Linked DNA regions of Oryctolagus cuniculus. The protein of the gene in region 3 purifies or fractionates together with the protein of the main gene of each other region. This does not show direct contact. Links are inferred from orthologs where the notes say so. Each region holds a gene or a part of one and is shown on either strand. Other genes may lie near its edges. The genes, in order: SAV1, MAP1S, RASSF1 and MAP1B.

Evidence for each region.
Region 1: the proteins of RASSF1 (region 3) and SAV1 purify together in Homo sapiens (affinity purification with western blotting; 3 studies listed by BioGRID, with this or other methods). This does not show direct contact. The link is inferred for Oryctolagus cuniculus from reciprocal best matches to the Homo sapiens genes RASSF1 and SAV1.
Region 2: the proteins of RASSF1 (region 3) and MAP1S purify together in Homo sapiens (affinity purification with mass spectrometry; 4 studies listed by BioGRID and IntAct, counting the BioPlex papers as one, with this or other methods). This does not show direct contact. The link is inferred for Oryctolagus cuniculus from reciprocal best matches to the Homo sapiens genes RASSF1 and MAP1S.
Region 4: the proteins of RASSF1 (region 3) and MAP1B purify together in Homo sapiens (affinity purification with mass spectrometry; 3 studies listed by BioGRID and IntAct, counting the BioPlex papers as one, with this or other methods). This does not show direct contact. The link is inferred for Oryctolagus cuniculus from reciprocal best matches to the Homo sapiens genes RASSF1 and MAP1B.

Annotation. Positions count from the first base shown.
Region 1 is NC_091443.1:25,507,638-25,513,086, reverse strand, and holds part of SAV1 (protein salvador homolog 1), read right to left. Parts: intron 3,899-5,449; coding exon 3,455-3,898; intron 1-3,454. UniProt on the Homo sapiens protein: Regulator of STK3/MST2 and STK4/MST1 in the Hippo signaling pathway which plays a pivotal role in organ size control and tumor suppression by restricting proliferation and promoting apoptosis.
Region 2 is NC_091447.1:65,422,409-65,427,122, reverse strand, and holds the end of MAP1S (microtubule-associated protein 1S), read right to left. Parts: coding exon 3,916-4,714; intron 2,067-3,915; coding exon 1,831-2,066; intron 1,602-1,830; coding exon 1,446-1,601; 3' UTR 1,391-1,445; downstream 1-1,390. UniProt on the Homo sapiens protein: Microtubule-associated protein that mediates aggregation of mitochondria resulting in cell death and genomic destruction (MAGD). Plays a role in anchoring the microtubule organizing center to the centrosomes. Binds to DNA. Plays a role in apoptosis.
Region 3 is NC_091441.1:98,983,524-98,988,972, reverse strand, and holds part of RASSF1 (ras association domain-containing protein 1), read right to left. Parts: intron 4,002-5,449; exon of another isoform or gene 3,984-4,001; coding exon of another isoform or gene 3,798-3,983; intron 2,917-3,797; coding exon 2,812-2,916; intron 2,671-2,811; coding exon 2,373-2,670; intron 933-2,372; coding exon 817-932; intron 373-816; coding exon 226-372; 3' UTR 1-225. UniProt on the Homo sapiens protein: Potential tumor suppressor. Required for death receptor-dependent apoptosis. Mediates activation of STK3/MST2 and STK4/MST1 during Fas-induced apoptosis by preventing their dephosphorylation.
Region 4 is NC_091445.1:38,781,647-38,787,095, forward strand, and holds part of MAP1B (microtubule-associated protein 1B), read right to left. Parts: intron 2,331-5,449; coding exon 1-2,330. UniProt on the Homo sapiens protein: Facilitates tyrosination of alpha-tubulin in neuronal microtubules. Phosphorylated MAP1B is required for proper microtubule dynamics and plays a role in the cytoskeletal changes that accompany neuronal differentiation and neurite extension.

The DNA.
Region 1 (5,449 bases), on a different chromosome or scaffold from region 3:
AATATGCACCCAATAGAAAATTATGCAATCATTAAAACTACTTAAAGTGGGTAACATTAGGAAACTCATTCAAATAAAAAACAAGGATATGAAACTGTACAGAGTTACAATTACAAATACAATTACAAATACAAAAAAATAAATACAAAAAAAAAAGAAATCTAGCACAGAAAAAGATAAAAGAAATAATTAATACACTTAGACTTTCTGGTAGATGGTTACTTTTACTTTTCACATTTTGCAAACTCCCTATAAGAAGTTATTACTCTAAAGGAAAATATAAATCGGCTTTATTTTTTTATTTTTATTTATTTGAAAGGCAGAATTACAGAGAGGGGGGGGGTGAAACAGAGAGATCTTCCATCCATCTACTATTCATTCCCTAAATGGCACAACTGTCTGGGCTGGGCCAGACCGAAACCAGGAGCCTCGTATCACATCGGAGTCTCCCAATATTGGGTGCATCTTCCCCTGCCTTCCCAGGCGCATTAGCAGGGGGCTGGATCGGAAGTGGAGCAGCACCCATATGGGATGCCAGTGTTGTAGATGGCAGCTTAAACCACTGCACCACAACACAAACCCCCAGATTTGCTTTTAAAAATTTACTTTTTGGCACTGGCACTGTGGTAAAGTAGGCTAAGCCTCCAGCCTGTGGTACATGCATTCCATATGTGTGCCATTTCATGTCCCTGTTGCTCTTATGATCCAGCTCTCTGCTATGGCCTGGAAAGCAGTGGAAGATGGCCCAACTACTTGGGCCCCTGAATCCACATGGGAGACCTGGAATAAGTTCTTCACTCCTGGTTTAAGATCAGCCTAGCTCCAGCTGTTGCTGCCATTTGGAGAGTGAACCAGCGGATGGAAGAGCGCCCCCCCCCCCCCCCCTGTAACTCTGCTTCTCAAATAAAATCTTTTTTAAAAATTACTTTGACTCCTCCGCCTGCGGCGCCGGCACCCCGAGTTCTAGTCCCAGTCAGGGCACCGGATTCTGTCCTGGTTGCCCCTCTTCCAGGCCAGCTCTCTGCTGTGGCCCGGGAAGGCAGTGGAGGATGGCCCAAGTGCTTGGGCCCTGCACCCCATGGGAGACCAGGAGGAAGCACCTGGCTCCTGGCTTCGGATCAGCGCGGTGCACCGGCCGCGGCATGCTGGCCGCAGCGGCCACTAGAAGGTGAACCAACGGTAAAGGAAGACCTTTCTCTCTGTCTGTCTCTCTCTCACTGTCCACTCTGCCTGTCAAAATAAATAAATAAATAAATAAAAAATATTCAAGACTTTAATAATCTATTTTCTCCCAAGCTCATTTCCTATTACATTCCCATTTCTCTTTCAAAAGCACCATAGTTCTGCCTTTCTCTGTCCATTTTCACTTCCCCTACAATTGTCGTTTCTCTGAGACTCTGTCCTGAATCCTACTACAAAAACTCACCTTTAAACACTATTTTCATCAAATCACTGTGTTTTCTTTTTTGAAATGCACAATGCTTCTTCTGGACTCAACGCTAAGCCTGTTGGATTAGGAATCTCCATTTCCCATTACAGCTTTTATCTTCAAATCAGGCACAACTATGAAGTCCTTTGAATTTAAAACATGCCCACTCTGTTTTCACTGGGTTATTCCCAACTTCAAACTTTTTTTTAAGGATTTATTTATTTACTTGAAAGGCAGAGTTACAGAGAACTAGAGGCAGAGGCACAGAGAGAGAGAGAGAGAGAATCTTTCGTCCACTGGTTCATTCCCCAGATGGCCTCAATGGCCAGGGCTGGGCCAGGCCAAAGCCAGACGCTTTATCTGGGTTATCTCACATGGGTGCAGGGGCTCAAGCATCAGGCCAGGCACATTTGCGGGGAGATGGATTGGAAATCGAAGAGCCAGGACTCGAAATGGTGCCCATATGCAATGTCGGTGCTATAAGCAGCAGCTTAACCCACTGTGCCACAGCACTGGCCCCCCAACTTCAGTCTTTAAATATTATTCTGCCACAGTTAATCCAAAATCCAAGCTCAAAGACTCGCGCAGGTTCTATCTTTTCCATCAATTATTCTTTTAATTATTCCAGTCCACAATGGTTTCTCTTCTGACTCCCTATCATATGGCCAGTCAATAACAAAGTGTAAGAATTCATTGTTCTGTCACTATTGTGTATATATAGGTTTTATTTCCCCAAATAAAGCACAAGACAGAGACTAAGAGGGTCAAAGAAAATGCTAAGCACAAATGATTAACACTTAATGAATAATACTTTTCCAAGTCAAAACACTCACGCTCCAAAATGTTTAAGTCAGCTTGTTTGAAGTCATGTGGGCTAAAAAGCTAATCTGGTTCGCATATTTCTTCCTTTATGCCAAATGTAAGACTCACTAGGTAGGAAAAAATCAATCACAAAAACTTTCAATTTGCTTCAATTTATACAGCGTAATCCAGTACTTTTTAAGACTAAAACAGAATTGCACATTTCTCCAGTCTCTTCTTGTAGAAGTATCTCCAAGCCAGGAGATTAAGAAAATGGACTTTTTTTTCCTTAATTAATCACTAATATTTCTGACTGTTACAACAAGAATGACAAGAAGACATGTTCAACACACAGTTTGCCACTTGACAGTAAGTTTTTTTGACCAACTTAGGAAATACTTATTGAATGATAGTGTTACGTTCAGAGAAACAGTACAAGACTGCACTAAGTTATATAGTTGACCATGCTTATCACCTAACATGCCCACTTTTTCATATCCTGTTTCCCTCTCCCGGGTTTCAGACCAATTTCTAAGATCTAACTCTCCCTGGGCCGGCGCCGTGGCTCACTAGGGTAATCCTCCGCCTTGAGGCGCCGGTACACCGGGTTCTAGTCCCAGTCGGGGCGCCGGATTCTGTCCCGGTCGCTCCTCTTCAAGGCCAGCTCTCTGCTGTGGCCCGGGAGTGCAGTGGAGGATGGCCCAAGTACTTGGGCCCTGCACCCCATGGGAGACCAGGATAAGTACCTGGCTCCTGCCATCGGATCAGCGCGATCCGCCGGCCACAGCGCACCGGCCATTAGAGGGTGAACCAACGGCAAAGGAAGACCTTTCTCTCTGTCTCTCTCTCTCACTGTCCACTGTGCCTGTCAAAAAAAAAAAAAAAAAAAAAAAGTCTAACCCTCCCATTCTATAAAACCTAAATCTAAATTCAGTCCAACCAAAGACATTAAATTCTCCAGGTTTTCAAGGCCCATATTAATCCAGATGACTCTGAGGTAAGTACCAGGTTTATAAAACATGAGTTAGTAAAATAAATGGACACAAGAATTCATTCAGTGTAGAAGCATAACTATTTTGCAGGCAGGCTTAAGCAACAATGGCAAAATGGAAAATGGAATTTCCCTGGGAGCCTTTGTCAGCTTCACGGGAAAATTCATAAAGAAACATCTTTTAATCAAAGTGTCAATATAATCGTAATGGACCATTTATAACATCAGGTTACCTGAAGCATGCCTCCCCTGACTCTGCGGCATTCTTTGGAAGAGATCATGATTGTATTCATAGTATCTGTAGTCTTCATGTGCACGATCTCCATGTGGCCGCCTTCTCTGGCCATCAAAAAAATTATCTGAATAATAGTATCGGGAACCAGAGTCTCCATTTTCAACAGCAAAATTAATTTCTGTGAGAAATGACTGAGAAGAGCCATATTCCCGAGGTACATCTGCTAGACTCCTGGCAAGATAAGAAGGTGCAGATAACCTGTTGCTTTCTCTTCTCATTATTTCATGAGGTGTTCTTTGAATTGGAGTTCTAAGGAAACTCTGGTTTCTTGAAACTACTCCATCTCCAGAAGTTGAAAAAGCAGTAGGGTTTGAATCTGGAAGACAGATATCAGTTCGTCTTGGAATTGTTGGACCATGCCGGATGAATGATGGCATCAGATCTATAATAAAACAAAGAGTACAATTATCATTTCAGTAAGCAATGAACTTTTCAAATGTTATGTGAACCACCCAAAAAATCACAAGATACTTAAAAAAAAACAACTTTAAAGTTTAAGTTAGTACTTGGGCATTTTAAATTGAGAAAGATTAGTATTTTCCTACTCAAATGAATTTATAATTTGCCTGAATGTGTTCTGTGTAAGCTTAGCCACAATCAAGTATATTCTGTATACTATATGATGAAGAAATATCAATAAGCTTATTTATGAACTATGTATCAATGAAGTACTCATGGATCAATGTATAAGAGTAGAAAATAACCTAACAAATCCATATGTAGTTACCAGCATAATTTACTTATGATCATGGTTTTGTCTGTACTTCTATTTAGAAATTATCAAAAAGCCTTCTTCACGGATGGTGTTGCAACACAGCAGGTTAAGCCACAGCCTTGGACAACACCATCTCATATGAGCACAAATCCTAGCTACTCCAATTCCAATACCGCTCCCTGCTCATGTGCCTGGGAAAGCAGCAGAAGATGGTCCAAGTGCTTGGGCCACTGGCACCCACAAGGGAGACCTGGAAGGAGTTTCAGACTCCTAGCTTCAGCCTGGCCCAGTTCTAGCCATTGTAGCTATCTGGGGAGTGAATCAGCAGATGGAAGATCTCTGTCTCTCCTAATTCTGCATTTCAAATAAATAAATAAACCTAAAAAAAAAATCCTTTTTAAGCAAACACTATTTCAAAGATAAAACTGACAATATAGTGCTACTCCCAAACATGTAAATGTGGATTTCATTAAAAAGTTTTAAATTAGTAACTTCCTACTTTTGAAATTATCTAGCACTCATTAAGTGATCCAAAGTAATCAGGGATGGGTATCTGGAGCCGTGGTAAATCACCACTTGGCATGCCACATTCCCTAGTGGAGCTTCTGGGCTCAAATCCTGGCTCCACTTAAGAGTCCAACATCCTGCTAATGCATACCCCGGAAAGCCGCAGATGATGCCTCAAGTACCTGGGTCCCTGCCACCCTAAGGGAGACAGGGATTACGATCCAGACTCATGGATTTGGCCTGGTCCAGCCCTGGCTGTTGCTGGCATTTGGGGACTGAACTAGCAGATGGAAAATCTGTCTACCTTTCAAATAAAATGAAAATAAAAAAATTTTTAAAGTAACCAAAATTTTAGAGAATCAAAATCTTATGTATGAAAATTAAACATAAAAGGAGTGCATTTCAAAGAGGCACATAAATGTGCCAGTTAAAACACAGCAAGCTTGAAACTAGGATTCCTTTAAAAATAAGTAATTATAACTCAAAACAGAAGATAACAGAAGAATAGCTTTTTAGCATACGGTCTTTTTGAATACAGAATGAGAAAAGAGCATAGACATTCCTGGTGGAAAAGCTAATGTCTTTAAAGCATGATGACAACTGGATACGGAGACCATTTTATTCCTTGTAAACAATATTTGAGGGCACTCATTAATAATCTTCAGTAGCTATCACATTAATATCTGAATAAATAAGCCTCAATACTTAATA
Region 2 (4,714 bases), on a different chromosome or scaffold from region 3:
GGGGCGGGCGCTTGCGCAGCACGCGCACCCTGCGTGGGAGACCCGGGTGGGGCCCCCGGCTCCCGGAGCAGCCCTGGCGGCAACAGGCAGCCGCGGAGGACGCGGTGGGGGAGCGGCCACGCTCGGCTCCAGGACGGCCGGGCCTGCGTGGCCAGAGCGGAGGCGACCCCCAGGGGTCCCCGCAGGCCCCGGCCCCGGGCTCCTCCTAGCACCCGAGTCCCAGGCGGGCAGAAGCGAAGGTGGTGGCGAGGAACTGATGGCTAGAGCCGGGAGAGGGCGCTGGGGCCGAGGGCGGAGCCCACGGGATCCAGACCCCGCGCGGAGCCGTGCGGACCGGGCTGGAAGGCGTTCGGACAAGTCTACCGCTGACCGTGTCTCCAATTTTTAATACATTATCGGAGAGGGAGCTTGCAACAGCCAGGGCTGGGCCAGGCGGGGCCAGCAGCCAGGAGTCCCCTGGGCCGGCACTGCCACCTTCCAGGCCCTCAGCAGGGAGTGGGGCCCGGACTCCTCCCGACCTGACCGAGGCTGCCCAGCAGGGCCTTGACCACTGCGCCACACGGCCCGGCCCCCCAGCTCGGATTTTGATGAGGGGATCTGGCGCAGGCGCACCAGGAACCGGGAAGTGAAATCCGCGAGGGCGGGGCCTGGCCTTGATGGCTGCTAGGGGGGACCTGCTCCGGCCTGGGGGGGTGGGGGGGCGGTCCCGAGGCTTCTGACGGAGGGGCGGAGACCAGACAGACGGGGCAGCCACAGATGGGGCCCCGGGCCAGGGCCCAGCACCGTAGCGCAGCAAACTTCCCAAGATTTATTGGTTTGGGAGGCGGGTCTTGCATCCCTCAACGCCACAACAGCCAGGGCTGGGCCAGGCGCTCCATCCAGGCCCCCCACATGGGGGGACGGGACCCGGCGGGACCCTCCCCTCCCAGGGTTCGCACGTGGGGGAGCCGGGTGGGACGTGGAGCGGCCGGGACTCAAACCCGGCCGCTCCAGTCCCGGATGTGGGAGTCTGGGGAGGCACTGAGCCCGCTGCGCCCCCACAACGCTGGGTGGTTCCCCTGGGGTGCACCTGCCCCGTGGCCGTAACCCCCCCCAGACCCGCTCCCCCCACCTCTGGCTGCTCGCACTGGTCCACGCCCGGCTGACCCCTGCCCTGCGCCTTCGGGAGAGGACCCGGCCCTGCCCTGCGTCTCCGTCTCCCGTCTCCAGTGGAGCCTCTCCCGGCCCGGAACCCAGCTGGGCCGCCCCCTCCCAACGCCCTCTCGAACCCTCGTCTCAAGCAGGGTTTGGTCACCGCCAGGGGGCGCCGGCGGCCCCTCTGCTGTTGCAAGGCCCGGGGAGGAGGCCGCCGAGGCCTGGGGTCCCGCCGGAAGAAGCGTCCAGGCCGGGGTGGGGGTGCGCAGGGGCTTTATTTCCGGGGGCGGGGCTGCGGGGCGGGGGCGGGGCTAGAACTCGACCTTGCAGGCGGGGAAGGCCTCGTCCTGCATGGACACCATGCTGTTGCTGCCCAGCACCGTGACGCCCAGCGCCTGGTGCCGGCCGTGCGTGTCCTCGTACCAGCGGTGCATGGCCGCCGAGTCGAAGGTGGGGATCAGGGTCACCTGCGGGGGGGCAGTACACGGTCAGGGGCGCCCCCTCCCTCCAGGCCCCGCCCCCCGCCGGGAACGAGAAGTCCGCGCTTGACTGGCCCCTGTGAGCGTGCAGAGGCCAAGCAGAGGCGGGATGGAAGGAGCCCGACCCTCAGGGGTCCCCTCCGCCCGGAAGCCGCCTGTTCCCGCCCCACGAGGGCGTGGCCAGGAGCCAGGGGGCCCAGGGCGAGGCGGTGCGCACCTGCAGCTCGCGGTCCCACCGCTCCTTGCCGGCCAGCAGCGCGTCCAGCACGGCGCGCATCCCCTCCTCCCTGCGCTGGTCCTGGCCGCTGATGACGTAGCAGAGTGCGCGCACGCGCCGGAAGAACTCCTCGTCCACCAGGCGCGCGCCGCTCCCGCTGGGCAGGTAGGCCAGATCCAGGTAGACGGGGGAGCCGGGCGCGGCGGCTGAGCCTCCGGGCCGGCTGCCGGCGGGGCCTGAGGGCAGGAAGCGGGTCGGCGGTGAGCGAGGGCGCCCGGGGCTCCAGGCCCTCAGCGGGCTCGCAGACCACAATCCTTTAGTCAGTCTGCAATGCCAGGAGCTGCGCCTCGGGGGTCAGCCACAGGGTCAGCGAGAGCGAGAAGTCAATCAGGAAGGGCTACCTGGGGGAGGCTGCCTCCCGGAAGTGGACACTGCTGTGTGGCGTCCACTCGGGGGGGCGCGCCAGGCCCGGGGGTCATACGGACCAGGGAGCAGCCCAGCCCCCCCCATGCTGATGTGGAGCCGTGGCCTTGGCAGTCACAGGGGAAGACCCTAGGAGGTGCCGCCTCTCCACCCACGGACAAGGCCCTGAACTCCCGACCCCAGGCTGCAGCCCCCGCCCTGAGGCTGAAGAGGCCAAAGGAGGGGCCGGTGCCGGGGCTCAGCGGGTGAAGCAGCCGCCTGCCGTGTGGCATCCCACAGGGGCGCGGGTTCAAGTCCCAGCCGCTCCACTTCCGGTCCAGCTCTCTGCTGTGGCCTGGGAAACCAGTGGAAGATGGCCCAAGTGCTTGGGCCCCTGCACGTGGGAGACCGGGAAGAAACTCCTGGCTCCTGGCTCCAGCCTGGCACAGCTCTGGCTGTTCTGGCCATTTGGGGAGTGACCCAGCGGATGGAAGACCTCTCTCTCCCTCTCTGCATTGCAAATAAATTCTTAAAAAAATGCAAAAAGAGCGATAAAGGTTGGGGCAAGCAAGCAGGGCCTGCACGTGAGCCCACAGCGACACACAGACTCGGCCAACCCGGGGTGGCCCTGGTGACCGGAGCCTGGACTCGCCAGCGGCTCGGGGGCAAAACGGGGATTCACTGCCCAGGCTCCTGAGCCACGCATGGCCGGGCCGGAGCCAGCTGGGGGGGTGGGGTGGTGAACAAACACCCCCAGGCACAAACACGCTGAGCGGAGGAGACACCCCCGAACACCCGCATCCCGGGTGACCGACGCAGCGCGCCCTGACCCTGGCTGCGGGACGAGGAAGCGACCAGTACGGGGCCGGGGCTGGCGCCGGCATCCCACGTGGGCGCCGGCTCGAGTCTCGGCAGCTCCACTTCCGGGCCGCTCCCTGCTCAGTCCTGGGAAAGCAGTAGAAGATGGCCCGAGTGCTTGGGTCCCTGCACCTGCGCGGGAGACCCGGATGGAGCTCCTGGCTCCTGCCTGGTCCAATCCCAGCTCCTGTTTGGGTACCGAACCTCTCTATGCCTTGCAAAGAAAAGCCAGCGCGGGAGAAGATGCCGGAAGTCAATCAACACCTTAGTGAGCTGCCCCCCCCCCCCCCCCCCCGTGCGTCAGGGCCGCCGTTTAACTACACAAACAAACCACAGAACGACGAGGCCTAGCAAGACGCGGGGCGCCCGCAGACCCTGCCCAGCGCGGGCGGGAGCACGCAGCCCCGACGCTGAGTGACACCTGCTGCGGCCCCGCCCCCTGGGGCGGCACCCGCCTTACAGAGAAGGGGGCGCCGGCAGCCACGGGAGGACCAAGCCCAGGGCGGTGGGTGTAGCCGCCGCGTGGGGCGCCGGTCCGGTCCAGCCCGGCCCAGCCACCGGGCACCCGAGCCTCTGGGAGCTCGCGGGGCGAGGTTTCAAGCGCCTGCCACTCGCACGGGGACCGCTTGGGACGAGACCCGGAACACAGAAGACCGGACCGGGCCGGGGCCCCCACCCCCGGGACTCTGCCTCTCACCCACGCACAGATGGCCTGGCACCCACGGCAGCCGCCTGCACGCACGAAGTATACAGCCGCTTTCTGGGGCTAACGCCGCGAGAGGACCGACTCCGCGGACGTGGGGCCGCGGGAACGGAGGTACTCACCGGACGGGGCGCGGGTGGCCGTCTTGGGGGCCGAGGACTTCCTGGCCAGGGGTGCCCGGCCCCCCTTGTCGCTGGGCTCGCTGCGGGCGCTGAGCGGCCGCCCGGCGCGGTCCCCGGCCGCCAGCCCCTTGCTCTTGGCGCCGGTCGCGGGTGCGGCCTTGGGCGCGGCGGTGCGGGAGGCGGGCCGGGCCGGGGCTTTGCGTGCGCGGGCCGCGTCCTCCGGCGGCCGGGCCGACCTGGGCGGCAGCGTCTCGGGGTCCACCATGCAGAGGCTGGGCGGGTTGGGCAGCGGCAGCGGCACCTTGAGCGGCTCGGGCAGAGGGTCGCGGCGAGGGCCCGCCCCCAGGCCCTCCGTGTCCTCGTCCGAGTCGGCGGCGCCGGGGGCGGCGGGCAGGGGGTCCGAGTCGGACAGCGTGGGCAGGGACTCGCTGACCGACGTCGGCGGCGTCTCCTCGGCCCCGGGCGCGCCCGCCCGCTCCTGGGAGCGCGCGCTGCTGTCGTTGGAGCTGCCCGGGGAGGGCGCCAGCGGCACGGCCTTGCGGTGCTCGAACTCGCAGGGCGACACGAGGCACAGGTCCACGTCGTGCGGGGAGGCCGAGCGGCGCGCGCGGGGCCCGCGCAGCGGGAGGCTCAGCCCCGCCTCGCCCGGCGCGCTGGGTGGCGGCAGCGCCTGCTCGAAGGACACGGACAGCGACTCGTCCACCTCCGTGGAGTGCGGGGAGCCCACCTCGGCGGGCAGCGAGGGCGTGGTCAGCGTGGGCGTGGTCACGGTGGGCGAGGCGTCGGGCCCCGCCTCCCC
Region 3 (5,449 bases):
GCCCTGGCTCCCTCCAACCCAGTACAGGACGGGCTGAGGGCTGCAAAGCCAGGCCCCGCTAAACCCGCTGCTGGACACGGGGCCAGCCCCTCGGCTGTCGGCTCGGCTCCTTCTCCCCAGGGCAGGGCCTCCCCCCGCACTCACGCCTCAGGCCCCAGGGGCCCGGTCACACTCACACAGCACACGCTGGGCGCTGCCTACTCTCCTGCCATCCAGGGGTCACGGTCACCCCACGGGGCAGGCGTGCAGGGCCTCCTGGATCTTCTGCCGGCAGCGGGAGTACTTCTGCAGGATCCGGCGGAGGTGCTCCTCCTCCTCGCGCTGCAGGATGCGCAGGAAGTTGTGCAGCTCGGGCATGCTGAAGGCGTCCCACTGCAGAGGGCAGAGCACAGGCTCCAGCAGCTGCAGCCGCCCCAGGGAGGACCCGGACCCCGGGCCGCACCTGCTGGCATCAGGTGTTCCCCCAGGAGTCTCGTGCCCAAACAGCCTGCACGAGAAGCCCACCAGCTGTCAAACAGAAGCCAGACCTGACCAAACCGGCACCCAAGCAGGCTTTTCTCCATGGGCCCCAAACCTGGGAGCCATAAAGACTCCAGGCAAGCAGTCGTAACGCCTGAGGGATGGGTGGGGGGTGGGGGCTTCCTAGCTCCATCGGGTTTTCCACAGCACCAGGACAGCTCTTCCTGGCTCCTTGGGCTTGCCCTAGACCTTGGCCTGACAGGCCTGGAAGCCCTTCCTTTCGTTGCCCTGGGGAGGCTGTACAGGGCTTGTCTCTGTTCATTAAAAGCAGGAAACTGAGCAGGACTGGGTACTCACGTTCACCTCCCCGGAGTCATTTTCCTTCAGGATGAAGCTCAAGTCCTTCTCATTCGGTCCTGCCAGGAGCCGAAGCTGCAGGGGCTGTTCGTCATCCGCCAGCTTCCGGAAGTAGACTGCAGCCCAGGCCGGGGGAAAGAGGTGTGAGATCAGAGGTCCTGCTGCCTCCACTCCCGCAGGCACAGGGGCAGGCACAGGGGCAGGCACAGCCTAGAGGTCTTTAAAAAGCTCATGAAAAGACTGCTTCATTGGGACTGGTGCTGGGGCATCCCACATGGGTGCCGGTTCAAGTCCAGCTGCTCCACTTCCAATCCAGCTCTCTGCTGTGGCCTGGGAAAGCAGAAGAGAAACTCCCGGCTTCGGTTCGGCACAGATCTGGCCAACTGGGGAGTGAACCAGTGGATGAAGACTCTCTCTGCCTCTCCTCCTCTTTGTGTAACTTTCCAATAAATCTTTAAATCAAATCAAATAAAAAAAGTGGTTTTTGTTTGTTTGTTTGTTTTTTGTTTTTTTACAACAAAGTCTTCCAGCCGCTGGCTTACTCCCCAGATGGCCGCAACAGCCGGAGCTATGCCAAACCGAAGCCATGAGCTGCTTCCAGGTCTCCCACACGGATGCAGGGGCCTGAGGACTTGGGCCACCTTCTGCTGCTTTCCCAGGCCATAGCAGAGAGCTGGATCAGAAGCGGAGCAGGCCAGGGCGTTAACCCACTGCGCCAGCCCTGAGTTACCTTTTGAAAATACACAATGTGGGGGCCGGTGCTGTGGCGTAGCAGGTAAAGCTGCTGCCTGCAGTGCTGGCATCCCATATGGGCACCAGTTCAAGTCCCAGCTGCTCCCTTCCACTCCAGCTCTCTGCTGTGGCCTGGGAAAGCAGTGGAAGATGGCCCAAGTCCTTGGGCCCCGGCACCCATGTGGGAGACCTGGAAGAAGTTCCTGGCTTCAGATTGGCCACAACAGCTGGCCAACTGGGGTGTGAACTCTTCACTCTGCCTCTCAAATAATCAATTTTAAAAAAAAAATACATAGAGTGGTGCCTCAAGAAGCCCTCTTTTAGGGCCGGCGCCACAGCTCACTAGGCTAATCCTCCGCCTGCGGCGCCGGCACACCGGGTTCTAGTCCCGGTCAGGGTGCCGGATTCTGTCCCAGTTGCCCCTCTTCCAGGCCTGCTCTCTGCTCTGGCCAGGGAGTGCAATGGAGGATGACCCAAGTGCTTGGGCCCTGCACCCGCATGGGAGACCAGGAGAAGCACCTGGCTCCTGTCATCGGATCAGTGTGGTGCGCCAGCCGCAGCGGCCATTGGAGGGTGAACCAACAGCAAAGGAAGACCTTTCTATCATCCACTCTGTAAAAAAAAAAAAAAAAAAGCCCTCTTTTAAGCCTAGAGGGATTCGTTTTCCACTGTTTCTAATCACTAATGCCTCGATAAATTCGCTTTTTCTAAACTATACCTGGACTTCAAATCTCTTGTGTACCAACATAAGCCAAGCTTCTAATTCCCTTTTCCACAGACCTCCTGAAGCATCCTCACGGGGTGTGTGTCGGGGGGAAACACACCTTGGCCATGACGCTCGGCTCGCTCAAAGAGGGCGAACTTGCGGGGGTCGTCCACCACCAGGAACTTGCGGAGCAGGGCCTCGATGACCTCCCGGGCCCGGGTGTGAGACAGCACGTGTAGGTGCTTGACGGCGTCCTTGGGCAGGTAGAAGGAGGTGTGGCGCTTCACGGCTGTGCCCCGTGCTGGGCCCCGGCGAGCATCCTGCAAGGACGGGGGCTTCTTGCTGGAGGGCACGGACACGGGCCGGGCCAGTTTCAGCTGGACCTTGATGAAGCCGGTGTAGGAGCCATCCTTGTTCTAGAGAGAAACAAACTCAACCATGACCTAGCTGCCGGGAGACACGGAACACCCTAGGGCTAGGCTGGGTGTTGCCAAAGTGGCTGTCTGAGCCTACCACGGCTGCCCCTCCGCAGACCCCCGCCAGAGCACTGCACTCACCAGGCTCATGAAGAGGTTGCTGTTGATCTGGCCGTTGTACTCCTTGATCTTCTGCTCAACCTCAGCCTGAGAAAGATCAGGCTTCTCCCACTCCACGTGCTCGTCCTAAACAAACAGGCCAGGGGCAGGTGTTTGGTCTAGGGGCTAACATGCCAACTGCCCCCACCCGAGTGCCTGGATGCAAATCCAGGCTCTGTTCCCGATTTCAGATTCTTGCTAATGCAGACTCTGGGAGGCCGCAAGTGATGGCTCAAATACTTGGCTCCCTGACACCCATGTGGGAGACCTGCTTTGAGTTCTTGTCTCCTGACTTCAGCCTGGTCCATAGAGTGGGGAGTGAAATCAACAGATGAGGGATCTCTGTTTCTTAAATAAAAGTCAAACGGGCTGGTGCTGCGGCGTAGTGGGTAAAGCTGCCACCTGCAGTGCCGGCATCCCATATGGGTGCCAGTTCGAGTCTCGGCTGCCCCACTTCCAATCCAGCTCTCTGCTATGGCCTGGGAAGGCGGTGAAGATGGCCCAGGTCCTTGGGCCCCTGTACCCATGTGGGGAGACCCATAAGAGGCTCCCGGCTCCGGACTGGCGCGGCTCCAGCTACTGTGGCCAGCTGGGGAATGAACCAGCGGACGGAAGAGCTCGCTCTCTGTGCCTCTCCTTCTCTGACTTTCAAATAAATCACTCCTACAAAAAAAAAAAAAAAAGTCAAAAAGATGAGCACCATGGACACAGGACCCTTGAATACATGGCTTCTCTGAAAAATGCTCTTGGAAATTGACTTCCTGATGTACACAGATGCCCAGAATCAGCCATCCTGGCTGGCGCAGTGGCAAAGTAGGTTAAGCCTCCACCTGCAGCACCAGCATCCATATGGGTGCAGGTTTGAGTCCTGGCTGCTCCACTTTAAATCCTGAACTTGTCACTGTTTTTTTTTGACAGGCAGAGTGGACAGTTGGTTCACCCTCCAGTGGCTGCCGCAGCCGGCTCACCACGCTGATCCGAAGGCAGGAGCCAGGTGCTTCTCCTGGTTTCCCATGGGGTGCAGGGCCCAAGCACTTGGGCCGTCCTCCACTGCACTCCCTGGCCACGGCAGAGAGCAGGCCTGGAAGAGGGGCAACCGGGACAGAATCCGGCACCCTGACCGGGACTAGAACCCGGTGTGCCGGCACTGCCATGGCGCCGGCCACTCGTCACTGTTAAAAAAAAAAAAACTTTTAAAGATTTTATTTCATAGGCAGAGTTAGAGAGGTAGAGACAGACAGAAAGGTCTTCCATCCAACCAGTTCACTCCCCAGATAGCCGAAATGGCCAGAGCTGTGCCGCTCCAAAGCCAGGAACCAGGAGCTTCTTGCAGGTCTGCCACACAGTGCAGGGGCCCAAGCACTTGGGCCATCTTCTACTGCTTTCCCAGGCCGCAGCACAGAGCTGGATCGGAAGGGGAGCAGCTGGGATTTAAACCAGCGCCCATATGGGATGCGGGCACTGCGGGCTGGGGTTTTAACCCGCTGTGCTACAGTGGTCACTGCTCCTGATTCTGGACACTGTGAGTGAAGCCAGCAAAGGCGGAATCATGCGGCTGCTCTCCAGCACGCAACAGAGCTCCAGGGAAACCACAGAATCAGGGGCAGCTGAGGCCAGAGGCCAAGACGACGGAGGATTCCGAGGAGGGACGCCTGCCTCAACTGCATGGCCTACCCCAGGACTCTGGCTGGCTTGGCGTCAGGATGTTTTTGGAGATGGCAGCCCTTTTTTCCACTTTGCCCCAGCCAAGGGCCAGGACCCACTGTGACACAGGATGTGAGGGAACTGGTACAGTTCAGCGGCTCCACCACCAGCTGGCAGGACAGTTAGCGTCATCTCGCCATCAACACCGCTGCGGGGAGCTGGGGCCAGAGCTCGCATCTCACAGTGCTGCACGAAGGCTGCGGCAGGCCAGGCTCCGCGCTGCCCGATACACAGGCCAGTGTCTGAAGAGAGCCTGCCCCACAAATGCCAAGCAGGTGGGTTCTGTGCCTCCCCTGTTGTCTGAAGCTTAGCCCAAAGAACGCAGCCGCACTACGCACTGCCCTCCTCCCCTGCAGGGACGGGACTCCCATCAGAAGGGTGGAGCACCAACTCTCTCCTACCCAACTCCCTCGCTCCGCTGCTTCAGCTTTCCTTCCTGTTGACGTCACACTCGTCCCAGTCGGAACGGGAGTGTCACACACAGCTGAGATCACCACAGACCAATGCCGTGTCCCATGGGAACTGCCATCAGGTCTCTTCTAGAATGACTGTGTGCTCACTTAAGCACAGGGACAGCCAGGGTTTGACCTTTTGGAAAACTGGAGATCTGTAAGCTACTTTAACTAGCAGAGAAAAACTCGGGCCAGAGCTGTGCTGTGGTGGGTGAGGCTGCTGCCTGCAGTGCCAGCAAACCATATGGGCGCTGGTTTGTGTCCTGGCTTCTCCACTTCCGGTCCAGCTCCTGGCTAATGTGCCTGGGAAAGCAGCAGATGGCCCAGGTCCTTGGGCCCCTGCACTCCTGTGGGAGACCCAGAAGAAGCTCCTGGCTTTGGATCAGCCCAGCTCCGGCCGTTGCAGCCATCTGGGGAGTGAACCAGCAGACAGAAGACTTCTCTCTGCCTCTTCTATGTTAAAC
Region 4 (5,449 bases), on a different chromosome or scaffold from region 3:
GCCTCCTCGGTTTCTGCCTTCTCTTCGTAGTCGCCGGCCTCGGAGGACTCCTCAAAGCCCGCTCCTTCGTCCTCGAACCTCTCAGTGTCCTCCACGCCTGGCTTCTCGGCCGGCTCCAGCTCCTCGGGGGTCTGCTCGCACTCGCCCTCCCCTTCGGTGGTCGTGATGCCCTCGTCGGGGGACTCGGCGGGGCCTTGGATGACCTCCGTGTGCTTCTGAAGGGCGTAGGCCTCCCCGGCCTCGCTCTCCTTCCGCTTCGCGTCCTCGTCGATCAGCTCCAGCTGAGGCTTCAGGGCCTTCGCCACATCCACCTCTTCAGCCTTCAGCTCCTCGAAGTCCTTGGTGAGATCCTCGGGGGACGACATGAGGGACCGCTCGGCCTCGAGCTCCCTCAGGGGGCCGGCGGCGGCCACGGCGGCCACGGCGGCGCCCACAGCGGCGGCGCCCACGGCCACGGCGGCCTCGGCCGTCTTGCCCTCCTTCTTGATAACTTTGACTTTGGCCTTCTCCTTGGGCTTCCCGGCAGCCGCCGCGTCTTTCTTGACCGGTTCCTCCTTCTTGGGGACTTTGGGCTTCAACGCAGCAGGTTTTTTCGCTTCCGAGAGAGGAGTGGCTGGTTTCTTCGTGTCTTTGGGGAGCTTCTTAATTTCCTTTTTAGGTTCTTTGTCTTCCTTTTTCACCTCCTTCTTCTCTTCCTTCTTCACCTCCTTCTTGGCTTCCTTCAGGGGCGTTTCTTTCTTCACCTCCTTCTTGGGCTCCTTCTTCTCCTCCTTCTTGATTTCCTTCTTGACTTCCTTCTTCACCTCCTCCTTTTTCGGTTTCTCCTCCTTTTTGACGGGCGTCTTGTCCTCCTTCTTCGCCACTTCCTTCTTCGGCTTTTCCTTCTCGTCTTTCTTCTCGTCGGGTTTCGCCTTTACCTCCTTTTTCACGGTCTTCTCCTTGGAGACCTTGGGCTTGACGTCGGCGGCTTGCTTGTCCGCCACCTCGGCTTTGACGGGAGGCTGCTCCTCTTTGCTGGGCGCCTCCTTGTCCACGGCCGCTGGTTTGGGCTCCGTTTTGACCGGCTTGTCTTTTTTCACGGTCACCTTTTCTTTGCTTTCCACTTTGGGCGGCTTTTCTACCTGGTTCGCTTTGGGGACCTCCGGGGCTTCCTCTTTCGACTCCTTTCGCACGGTTTTGCTGGGAGCTGGTTTTGCAGCTGGCTTCAGATTTTCTCTGCTGTCAGCCCTCTGTTTGAGTTTCACTTGTTTCACGGCGGGAGCCGGCACCTGGCCAGTCAGATCCTTCTGGGTGGCCAGCGGCTGCTTCAGGAAGTCCAAATGTTTGAGTTTTTCCAGCCCTTCCAGGATGTTGTATTGGGTGCTGTTTCCAGGAAAGAGGACGCGGATGATTTTCTCGGCCGGGTTTGCTGGATGCCACACGATCAGCGAGGAGACTGAAGTTAAGTAGGGGATCGGGATATCTACTTCCTGACCATTGGGCAGGATCAGTTCCGCCTTGTCTTTGTTGGTGCCAGTCCACTGCTGCATGAAATACTGCATTTCCTTGCTGCTCTTGACTGGGTTAAGCACATACATCTCTAGTTTCCCCACCCCCATCTTTTGGAAAAGAATGACAGGATCGATGGTATTGCCTACACTTCTAAAGAGAGGTTCTGGCTTCATGGACAACTTGTTCAGGTACTGGAGGGTGAAGCACGCTTCCTCCAGGCTCCTCTTCATCTTCATGTTGGGCTCGGGAGTCTTCAGGTTTTCAGGGACGTTGAGAAAGACGACGCCCAAGTCAGGGGAGATGAGGTTTTTCATCCAGTCGCTGTTGGTGGTGGAGCCCTGCGACTGCTCCTCTTCCAGCTCGGCGATTTTCCGCTGCAGCATGCTGTTTATGCCGGGCAAGTTGTCATCCCCGATGTGGGTGAGCAGGATGGAGTCCACGCGGTCCAGGTGGCGGATGAGTTTCCAGAAGCAGGACTTCCTCTCCGAGCCGCCGTTGATGAGCATGTTGAATCCGTTCACCGCGAACAGGGCGGAGTCGCCCCTGCCTCCGGGGAAGATGTAACAGCAGGGCTTGGAGAGCTTCAGAAAGCCCCCGGATGTGGGAGGTTCCAGGATGTCAAAAGGGGACAGGACTTCCACTGACTCCGAGAGGTACTCGGTGAACTCAGAGAGTCCTTCCATTTCTGGCAATATAGACGCTGAGTTGAGTTTAATGTTGATGAAGTCTTGCAGATTGTGTCTGTCCAGGTTGGAGTTCTTCCAATCCCCTTCTTCGGGGCAGAACAGGGTTAAGCTGGCTTTGTTGGCAGGATGGGTAGTGCTCAGTAACTCTCCAATCTGGAATTGAACAAAAAGAAGAAGGGGGGGGGTTTGGGTGACTGACTGTCATCACTGTTCCATCATCTCTGCCTCCAGAGGGTGACACAGGATGCCTGGCTGCACAGAGCTGTAGCCGTGTAGTGATGCTTGTTGTATACATCCTAAAACACCTGCATGCAAGACGGTGCATGGCCCCTGGCCCGAGCATCCCCTGCACCCCAGAACCTGGCTCCAGTTCTGAGGCCACCAGCTGCATGGACTATCCGTGCATGTACTACTTTGCATGCTCCCTGATGCACTTGTCATGCACAGGTGCTCTTTAAAAAATACTGAACCATCACGGGAGAAAGCTACGTGAGTCATTTCCTCACTGATACTGCAAGGTCATTTCTTTTAATCCCCTCGGCTTGGCAAGTGGTAGACGTGTGATGGACACGTTAAAGAAGTGCCGGTAATAGTGCACTTCTTGTCTCCTTTTAGAATTTGACAGATACAAAAAGAAAAATGTCTGGTGAGGTCTCCCCCCGTGGGACACAGGAAGGTATTGATTGCCCAGGACTACAGAAAATGATTGGTTTCTGGCACCAATGCCCAATATTTAAAACATGAGTGGTTCACCCAGCAGATTCTCCGTGAATACAAATGCTTTTACCGAAGCCCTGATGATTAAACTGATTGAGTAAATTGTACAAGCCAATGACCAGATACGATCCCCATTTGCTCCGTCTCTGTTGCTTTGCTTATCAAATAAAAATAAATGAACACTTGACAATAAATAAACATGAGCAAATGCTTATTAGTATTCCAGTATGGGAAGTGGGTATCCCAAATGCCTGCCCCTGTTTGTGCTTAAATCCAACGAGAGACACTCTGCTGGCTTTCTGCTCTCATTCTTTCCTTTTTGAAAACTTAAAAAAAATTTGAAAGGCAAACAGACAGAGATCTCCCATCTGCTGGTTCATTCCCAAATGGCCAGACAGCCAAGGATGGGCCAGATCAAAGCCAGGAGCTGAGAATTTAGTCCTGGTCTCCCATGTGGGTGGCAGAGATCCAACTATTTGAGCCATTGCTGCTGCCTCCCAGTGTGCACATTGGAGGAAGCTGGAATCTGGAGTGGAGCCAGGACTCAAACCCAGGGACTCTGAGATGGGATGCAGGTGTCCCAGGCGGCACCTTCCCTGCGCCCTCCCATTCTTTTCCAACGGAGCAGGGTTTGAGTGGCTAAGCTCACATTTGGTTCCGATGCTTTTTAATGCATTGTTTAGTACTTCCCGAGGATGGGAATGTGGAAAAGCAAATGGGGACCAAAACGGTGATTATGGTTTAACGAAAGCACTCTTTTCTTTCTTGCTCCATGTTAAGGCCAGATGGTCTTAGTTTAGCAAATTGTGAGGGAAAGTCATGCTGTAAATTCAGGCCTTCTTTCTGTTTCAGCAGAGTTCATAATGCAGCCCAGGAGGTCACCCAAGAAGTGCCCTGCGTGCTGGACAGGCAGTGAGGAAGGGGCAAGGCAAAAGGTTTTCCTTGGTGCAGCCATCGCTACCTGACAGCTCGGGACTCTCACCTGCCAGGATCAGAGGGATCACCTCTGTGTCACTATTAGAATATTAACATTCAGAGGCCGTGTGTGTGTGCATGCGTGTGTGAGAGAGATAAGGATAATTCACACAATCTGAATTTTCCTCTACTAGGCTGCACTCAATCTTGTCATAAGCCTATTAATTCTAGCATCGCGTTTTAAGTGAAGAGTCACAAAACGGCACAATAACGAAACATTGCTGCTTTCCTCTGACTTCACTTCGAATGCTCCCACATAAAAGGGATGGGACCAAAGCCCTGTTCTGGAAGCTGAGAAAACCGAGAAAGCAAATGGTAACCACCACTGGGGAGGATCTTTGCTCAAATTATTTGTTGGCCGAAGAAAACATGAGCACCAAATGCGCTTTCATGTCTGATATTTGGCAGAGACCCTCATCATCACTGCTGCCACACGACTGGCCTTCTGCCGGTCCTGATCGTCACACAGAACACCGGCAGATTCTTCATGGTTTCCAATACATGCTTAGGGGCAAATCCAAGAAAACTCAAACTGCTGAGTCTTTCATGGATAAGTTTTATTTATTTCATTTATTTTTCAGAGGCGAAGAAAAAGAGAGCTCCCATGCACCAGTTCACAACCCAGATGTCCACAGCAGCCAGGGCTGGGCCAAAGCCTGGAACTGAGAACTCAATACAGGTCTCCCACATGGGTGGCAGGGACCAAGCACTTGAGCCATTACTGCTGCCTCCCAGGAGGGCACAGTAGCAGGAAGCTGGAGTCCGGAGGGGAGCAGGGGTTGGAACCCAGGCACTTTGATGTGGGATGTGGGCGTTCTAAGTGACATCTTAACCACTGCCTGCCCCTTAGAGTGGATTTTTTAAAAATTACATTTAGTTCATTCTAACTTTTGAAATTCTACCCTAGCTGAGAGGTATTGGGATAGGGTAGGGGTGAGGGAGTGTCAAGGATAGAATCCGGCTGAGTAGGGGTGTTCAATCCCTAGTTCTTTTTTTAAGAAAGATTATTTATTTAGAAAGATGAGAGTGGGAAAGAGAGGGAGAGAAAGGCAGCTCTTCTACCCACCGCTTTAGTCATTACAGCCCATTAATGTAATGGCTGCCCATTACAGCCAGGGCTGGACCAAGCCAGAGGCCCAGAATTCCATCCTGGTCTCTTGTGTGTGGCAGGATCCAAGCACTTTAGCCATCACCTGCTGCCTCCCAGGGTTAACATTAGCAGGAAACTGTACCGGAAGTGGAGGCAGGACTCCATCCCAGGCACTCCGATGCAGATGCAGCCATCAGAAGTGGCGGCTTCATCCACTGCATCAAACACCTGCCCCCGTCACTAGCTTTTTTCTGTGAGGTGTGAAGTCACAAGGTTCAAAGAGCAGGCAACGGGACACAGGAGCATCTCCCTGCGGTCCATTATTTTACCTCTACCCAAAGAGTTTCTACAAAATGCAGGGCATGATCCAAAGCAAAAACACAGAAAAGCCATGAAAGCAACAGCAGAGAGAGGTCAGGGAACAGAAAACTATAATGTCCAAGGCAAAGCAGAAAAGGAAGTCTGCACTGCTGGACTAGTGTCTAGCGAG